Linked DNA regions of Callithrix jacchus. The protein of the gene in region 2 interacts with the protein of the main gene of each other region in a pairwise test. Links are inferred from orthologs where the notes say so. Each region holds a gene or a part of one and is shown on either strand. Other genes may lie near its edges. The genes, in order: IFT27 and IFT25.

Region 1 (4,489 bases), on a different chromosome or scaffold from region 2:
ACACTTGAACTGAACGTCAGCTCCTTCAATGACTAGATACGTGAGAGAAAAAACAGAGCAACTCAGTTTAAACAGCAGGGCTATGGGGCATGGATGGAAAAATAAAACCAATGCTGTAGGTGTGTGTGTGTGTGTGTGTGCGCGTGCGCGTGCACGCGTGTGGTGGGCATGGCAAAGTGGGCTGATTTCTGGGCTGAGGTCTTTTGGTCCCCAGAAACTTTCAAGAGGAAATGCTGCGGAGGCCTTGAAAAGAGGCTGCAGGCCAGGCGCAGTGTCTCATGCCTGTAATCCCAGCACTTTGGAAGGCTGAGATGGGCGGCTCACTTCAGGTCTGGAGTTCAAGACCAGCCTGACCAACATAGTGAAACCCCATCTCTGCTACAAATACAAAAATTGGCATGGTGGCATGTGCCTGTAATCCCAGCTACTTGGGAGGCAGAGACACGAGAATCGCTTGAACCTGGGAGGCAGAAGTTGCAGTGAGCTGAGATTGTGCGCCATTGCATTCCAGCCTGGGTGACAGAGTGAAACTGTGTCAAAAAAAAAAAGGGGGGGCCAGGTGTGGTGGTTCACACCTGTAATCCCAGCACTTTGGAAGACTGAGGTAGGTGGATCACTCAAGGTCAGGAGTTCAAGACCGCCTGGCCAACATGGTGAAACCCCGTCTCTACTAAAAAATATGAAAAAATTAGCTAGTCATGGTGGCAGGCACCTGTAATCCCAGCTACTCAGGAGGCTGAGGCAGGAGAATTGCTTGAACCTGGGAGGCAGAAGTTGCAGTGAGCCGAGATTGCGCCAGTGTGCTCCAGCCTGGGCGACAAGAGTGAAACTCCATCTCAAAAAAAAAAAAAAAGAAACAGAAGATGAGGATCATGGCTTGAGGACAGCGTAGCCTGGGCTAAAGCCCTGGAAATCAGGTTGGAATCCAGGGTCTGGATCATACAGTTCTGCCGTTTCCAGCTGTGTGACCCACAGCAAATGTCCTCATTTTTCTGGAACTCAGTTACCTCATCTGTAAATGAGAATGGCAATACCACCAATCCTACAGGGTTGCTGTGAGGATTCAGTGAGACCACCTGTAATCGAGGGTCTATCCCAGAGCTGGTGCCCAGAAAGTGTTCAGTAAGTTAGCTCCACGCTGAAAACCGAATTTAAAAGGAACAGAGATAAGCCCATTGAAAAAGAAATATATAACTTCAGAAAATAATGTTCCCAACTTATCCATAAAGAAATTAAAGCTCAAAAAAGTGCTTTGTCCAAGATGACACAGCCAGTAAGAGGAACGGGCAGAATTCCTTTTGTTACACAACACTGCCTCCTCTGGTGCTCTGCAAACAGGAGACTCTCCTGAGAACCATTCATTTCTTTTGCTCCAGTATGATTCAGTTACTACTGTCAGAGTCATCTTTCTATGTTACCCTTTTACTTTCAAATTATAAAAGCCATTACAAATATGATCATTTACTTTCAGTCTGGAAGAGTGGACTTTTTTTTAAAAAAAGAAATCTCTTTTTCTCTATGTAATTTCTCACCACTTCTTTCCTGAGCTGGTGGGGAAGCCCGGAAAGGTCACAGCTTTCAACGGAAACACGAGTTAAGAGTTTCAGAGTTGGGCAGATCTAGTACGTAGCCCAGAGTGCTACAGTGGGACCATTTCATGCAATATGTGTGCCTCGTATGCAGTAAGGATCCAGTAACGTGCGTATGTGTTTCGTGTAGTCAAAAGGTCTATAATCCAAGCCATTTTTTCTAAATATGCAGACTGATACGATGCACTAAAAATATGCGAGCCACATAGCCATCCACTCTGAAAGTATTAATCGAGTGCTTACTATGTTCCAGGTATTATTCTGGGCGCTTGGGATATATCAGTCAACAAAACAAAGATTGCTGCCCTTGGGAGACTCAACATTTATGTCCTTCTTGGAGCGGGGCAGCACAGTAAATTTGGGTCTTAAAGACAACACACAAGTGCCTTTTGCGAACTCGGGTCACTACACTCCTGTCACCGTTATCAGAGGGGGTGAGGTCAAGGGAAAAAAATCCCACAGTAAAGACTACCAAAGTCACCGAGCCTAACTTTGGGGTACAGTAAATATTTAGCTGAAGGACTCAAGGTTTGCTTAAGTTTTGTTTTAACGAGTCTGCTGCTCCAGAGTTTTAACTAGTGACTTTTTTAACGAGTCAGTTCAACCGGTGAAGGTGGTCTCGGCGTATGGCAGGGAGCAGGGGGAATCCGCTGGAGCTGCGAATGTGCCACGGAGGATCTTTCTTCCGCGGCTAATGTAATTTACTGTATCAGTAATGGCAGTAACTCGCCTTTAGGAGAGAGAGAGGAAAAGAAGGTAGGAAATTTAGGTGAACAAAAGCTTTGGATGAATTTTGAAGGCCTGGGACTCCAGAGACCGCTGTATTCAAGCGCAAGTTTTCAGACTCACCTGCCAGGATGCATTTGGCTGCCAGCTTCACCATGGTAACCAACACTCCCGCGAGCCGTACCCTGAGGACAAGAGCGGCTGCTAGAGGCGCGGGTGGGTGGGCTTCGGGCCCTGGGCCGTCCTGGAACGGGGAGGTGGGGAGGGCTGATCTCAAGGGCCGGTGGCCGCGGCGGGGCTGGGGATGACCGGGCCCAGCCCTCCTGGGCTGTGGGCGGTTAATGGGCGCTGGGAGCGGTGTATAGGGGGGCTCCAGATGGGTCCGGCTCGAGGCCCGACACGGCAGTCTGAAAAGATGCAAGCGAGCGGACACGGCCTGTGCTCCCGGCACAGCTCCTCAGCCCAGCCTTCCCCAGCGGGGCCAGGGAAGGATCTCCTCCCGCCCCAAGTACCCGGCCAAACGCACACTCCAGGCAACCATAACCCACCTGCCCCGCCTCCCCCTCCTCGCTGACTCTCGATTGGTTGTCGCCAATAGCTCCCACCCTCGAGGGCTTGCAAAGACCCAATGGGAGTAGAGGGTGGGGACAATAGCCTTTTCTTGAGACACAATTCGTGAAGTTATTTGTTCTTCAAGTTCATTCTGCTGGACAAGTGGTTGTAAATGACGTCAGTCAGCTTTATATCCCGCCCCTACGGCGCCATAGAGTCCCGAGGTAAAGAAGTCTTCACGTCAGGCTGACAGAAGCGGTAAGAGAAGCTTTCTGACTGGTCGGAGGCTGGCTAGGCCCGTCTTCGGGAGGAATGGGGATTCGCCACTCCCGCTGTCCTTCTGGAAGTGGGTTCGCCTACCAGGGGGCGAACTCTAGCAGGTCCGGCTCTAGGCGTTCTGGGGCGACGCCAGCGCGGTGGGCCGGGCTGCCGCTGCTGAGGCCGTATTGACTTGGTTTGAGTTCGCAGCGGTTCTAGTGGCTTCCCCGGTTCCCGGGTTCTGCACAGCGCGGCTATTACAGTGCGTCGAGAAGTTCAGTTCTTGGCCCGCATCCCTCAGGGAAATCTCATTTTAAAAGCCCAAAGATGTTATGAGCGTTAAAATCTAAAATACGGTGTTTCGAGTGATATTTGTGAATAAAGGGAGAACGGGCACGCTTTGATGGGGCTGAGCGGGGAGACTCGGGAACTTGACGTCGTTCTTTCCTCTTAGTCCATTTACCGTCTGGCAAAGGGAGGACGCATCGCTCACCACGCCGCGCGCGCGTCGCCCGGGGAGGCTCTGTCTACGCGGCTGTTTTCCGGGTCAGGGGTCTCTTGCACGTGGTTGGAGAGCGAGAGACCTAAATCACTGCGTCTTTCTGGCCTGGGAAAGTTAACTCATCCCTCAGCCTCTCAGGATGGGCCTCGGAGAACCCACCTCGTGGGGTGGGTGTGGGGGTGGAAGGAGAGAAACCTGTGAGTTAGTAGGTTCACCAGTGATCGTGGGGTGCATGAGAGAGACGAAGCTTATCTGGTTTATCATCGCTGCCATTGGTTGGCCGAATGTACCCCCTGTCCTCACTCTCTCGGGGCCCCTGGGATTTCTGATGGCTGATGCTGACGGGAAGAGCAGCCCCTCAGTAAAGGTGCCTGTGTGGAGGCTCCACATTCCCTGCAGTCCACCTCTCCACCACTCTGCACCTCAGGGTGGCCGCCAGCCTTGTGTCGGGGAATGCACACACACACTCTATGAATGACTGATGGTTTCGGCTCTGAATCTGGAGTAAAACAATGCAAGTTGTCTGCACGTTCTTTCCTTGGGATTCATTCCTGGTGTTACGGCAAATGCCGTTCAGCCTGGGGACTGCCCAGGCCGGGCGCGGTGGCTCACACCTGTAATCCCAGCACTTTGGGAGGCCGAGGCGGGTGGATCACGAGGTCAAGCGATCCATCCTGGTCAACACGAGGTTGCCACCATCCTGCTCAACATGGTGAAACCCTATCTCTACTAAAAATACAAAAAATTAGCTGGGCATGGTGGCGCGTGCCTGTAATCCCAGCTACTCGGGAGGCTGAGGCGGGAGAATTGCCTGAACCCAGGAGGCGGAGGTTGTGGTGAGCCGAGATCGCGCCATTGCACT
Region 2 (3,816 bases):
CCAAGGAGGAATTTCAGGGCGAATGGACTGCTCCAGCTCCTGAGTTCACTGCTACTCAGCCTGAGGTTGCCGACTGGTCTGAAGGCGTGCAGGTGCCCTCTGTGCCCATCCAGCAGTTCCCTACTGAAGACTGGAGCGCCCAGCCTGCCACGGAAGACTGGTCTGCAGCTCCTACTGCTCAGGCCACTGAATGGGTAGGAGCAACCACTGAATGGTCTTAAGCTGTTCTTGTGTGGCCTCTTAAACAACATGTAAGATTCATGGAAAATAAACATCGAGTTTCTAAAAAAAAAAAAAAAAGAAAATCACTCTAGCTATATTCATATAATACAAAGTAGAATGTAAGACAAGGAGCATTACCAGAGACAAAGGGGACATTTTATAATGTTAGAGGGTCAATTCATCAGGAAGAGAGGATAATCCTAAGTGTATATGGACCTAATAATAGTTCTTTAAAATACATAAAGCAAAATCTGACAGCTGAAGGGAGAAATAGACAAATTCACAATTATAGTTAGAGATTTTAATACCCTTTTCTCAGTAATGATAGAACAATTTGGCAGAAAATCAATAAAGACATAGATGATCTGAATAGTATCATAACCTCGACTTTGTTGACAGTTATAGAACACTATAATCAACAACAAGAACATATTAATGGGTTGGGTGTGGTGGCTAATGCCTGTAATCCCAGCACTTTGGGAGGCCGAGGTGGGCGGATCACCTGAGGTCGGGAGTTCGAGACCAGCCTCACCAACATGGAGAAAGCCTGTCTCTACTAAAAATACAAAATTAGCCAGGCATGGTGGCGCATGCCTGTAATCCCAGCTACACGGGAGCCTGAGGTAGAATTGCTTGAACTTGGGAGGCAAAGGTTGTGGTGAGCCAAGATCACACCATTGCACTCCAGCCTGGGCAACAAGAGTGAAACTTCATCACAAAGAAAAAAAAAAAAGGAAAATGGAATGCAAATAGTACAACCACTTTGGAAATCTGACAGTTTCTTATAAAGTTAAATATACTTTTACCCTATGTCCCAGCAATTTCACTCTTAGTAATTACCCAGAGAAATGAAAACATGTTCACAAGCACCTGTACAAGCATATCTGTAGCAGCTTTGTTCCTAATAGTAAAAAAGTGGAAGCAATTACAATATCCAACAACATATCAAAGAAAATCATGAATAAAAACATTGTGGCATAGTCTGGTGATAGAAAGCAAAGCAGTGGTTGTCAAAGGGAGGTAGGGATTTCTGGAAGGAAAGATAAGGGAAATTTCTGGAGTTATGGAAATGTTATATCTACTGGAGTATTGGTTACATAAGCATGTACATTTATCAAAACTCATTAAGTTATACACTTAAGGTGAATTTCACTGTAGGTAAATTTTATTTCCAAAAAAAGAAAAAGCTTATGTAGTTGAAATGATTATTTCTGTAGTCAAAATTATATATACTGTTTTGCCTATATGTGACTTAAAATTGAGTTCATGTTTTAATTTTTGTTTGAACAAACATTTAGGTTGTCTCTGCTATGGGTGAGCCATTGTAGCAGTTGTAGGGTTACAAAGATGAGTAAGGGAAGGAAGCTGGGCTCAAAGAGCTCAGCATTTAGCAGGAGCCATAGAAACAGGAGATTAAGTGCCAACGTAGAAATAGAGGCTAAGTGTGAGATAAGTGCAAAAGAGGGAGGCAGTGATTCTGAATTGGTGGGGTTAGATAAATGAGACCAAAAAGTGAATGAACTTAAGGGGAAGAAGGGTTTTTCAGGTAAAAAAAAAAAAATACTCATGAATGAACCAAGGTACAGAAGCATAAGCCTGCATTAACATATTTGCAGAATTTTAAGTGGCCCAGTGTGACCACAGTAATGGAAGAGAATATACCTTAATTATGGAACCAGATTGTACAGTCTTAAATGCCATACAAAGGAGTTTAGAATTATAGGCAATAAGGGAGCATTGAGGCTTTTGAATAGGAGTGATACCTATTCTGTTTCTGTGTTTTAGAAAAGAATACCTGATAGTAGTAAAGAAGAATTATTAAAATTAGAGATTAGAGATTATAGGCAGAATTAACAGAAAGGAGATATAAAAGTTCAGTAGTCATTTAATTTTAAAGAACAGGTATTCAATACAATTTTATAATTAACCATTTATATTTGGCTATTTTTTTTTTTAATTAACAATAGGAATCCAGACACATTTTGGACCACTACAGGAATGTTTCCCCAGGAATTCATTATTTGTTTCCACAAACATGTAAGGATTGAAAGGCTTGTAATCCAAAGTTACTTTGGTAAGCAAATCTTACATTAATTTTTTCTTTTTTTTTTTTTGGTGCTCCAGGTAAGGCTCATATGTTAATTTTCATTATCCTTTAATTTTTTCCACAGGCAGAAGGCATGTATGTAAACTTTTGGCAAAACACTAGTTTTTCTTTATAGCATGGAATCCAGTTTTATTGCTTGGGTGAAAGGATGGGGATTATGGATTAACTGCCTTGAGCTCAATTGGCCTCTCTGAAACTGCAAATTTGAAACCCTTCCAAAGCACATAATAATTTCCATGCAGTTTACTATGTGAAAGTCTTTGACAAAAGGCCCTATTAGGAACATTAGACGCCAGTTTGCCAGAACACTAAGTTCCATGACTGGAACTTAGTGGGCTCATGCCCATAATCCCAGCATTTTGGGAGGCTAAGGCGGGCAGATCGCTTGAGCTCAGGAATTCAAGAGACTAGGTGGGCAACAAGAGACTAGGTGGGCAACATGGAGAAATAGATTCATTTGGCCAGGAGTTCTTTGTCCAATTCTGGTTGAAAATCTGATAACCCTGATTATTTACATTGGATAGTTGTGATTCTTCTATTACTAGTGGCATTTTCTGAGGAATTTGGGAGGAGAATCTCCCTTGGGACATCATTCTAATCCTATTTATCTATTTAAGAATAACATTATCAGACAAAATCATGGCAGGAAACAGAATGCATCCTAGATGGGTCAAATGAAGAGGCTCTATTGATGGGACTACCTGCAAAATTATGGCTTGGGTTAAGGGAACAAACAACGCAAGGAATGATGAGGCCCTCAGTAACTAACTATAGCTGGAAGCTGTGACCAGCCCTGGGAAGGAAATAGTGTTATTAGAGATCTGTGAGAGCTGGAGCCTGTGTGAAAGGACCTAACAGGAGCTGTAGGCAGGAGAAACTGTCAAAGATGTGGCACTGAAGCAGGTAGGGAATGGAGATAATAAAATAGGCTGATCTTACTTCCCCACACCAGTCTCCCCATGGTGTCCCCCACTGGCCAAATCCAATAAGAAGCCAGTAGGTAAGTGAATCCAGGTGATGTAGTCCACAGAGGTTAGCTTCTCATGGCACAGAACAGGACAAAGAGGAGGAGGAATGGATCTGGAGTGGTAGAGACTGGACTGGGGACAGTGGAGAAAAGACTGTATTCCTGTTAAGTCTCTCTTTAAAAAAAATTTTTTTTAAGTCTCTCTTTTGTCATTAATTGTGGAGACTCTGGAGTCAGACCTAAAGTTTGAATTCCATTTCTGGCACTTACTAGCTATATATCATTGAACACCTTGCTTGGCTCCATGAAACCTGTTTTCTTACCAATAAAGTGGGTTAAAATATTTTTCTCATGATATTGTAGTCAAAAGTGAATGGATAAATATGTCTGACTCATCATAGGCTCTCCATGAATGTTCATGATCAAGACACCAATAGTATTATTATTGCCAGAACACAAAAAAAATCTGAATAAAGCCAATTCAAAAAAGCTCTACTTGCTCTGCGTTATGTGGTTGCAA

What was found.
Region 1: the proteins of IFT25 (region 2) and IFT27 interact in binary tests that used the Homo sapiens proteins (3 or more experiments, as listed by UniProt). The two-hybrid records come from large-scale screens. The link is inferred for Callithrix jacchus from reciprocal best matches to the Homo sapiens genes IFT25 and IFT27.

Annotation. Positions count from the first base shown.
Region 1 is NC_133502.1:207,709,309-207,713,797, forward strand, and holds the start of IFT27 (intraflagellar transport protein 27 homolog), read right to left. Parts: upstream 2,899-4,489; 5' UTR 2,864-2,898; exon of another isoform or gene 2,501-2,863; 5' UTR 2,473-2,500; coding exon 2,439-2,472; intron 1-2,438. UniProt on the Homo sapiens protein: Small GTPase-like component of the intraflagellar transport (IFT) complex B that promotes the exit of the BBSome complex from cilia via its interaction with ARL6. Not involved in entry of the BBSome complex into cilium. Prevents aggregation of GTP-free ARL6.
Region 2 is NC_133508.1:91,059,536-91,063,351, reverse strand, and holds part of IFT25 (intraflagellar transport protein 25 homolog), read left to right. Parts: coding exon of another isoform or gene 1-221; exon of another isoform or gene 222-305; intron 306-2,189; coding exon 2,190-2,296; intron 2,297-3,816. Other genes in the region: small ribosomal subunit protein uS2, read left to right, coding at 1-221. UniProt on the Homo sapiens protein: Component of the IFT complex B required for sonic hedgehog/SHH signaling.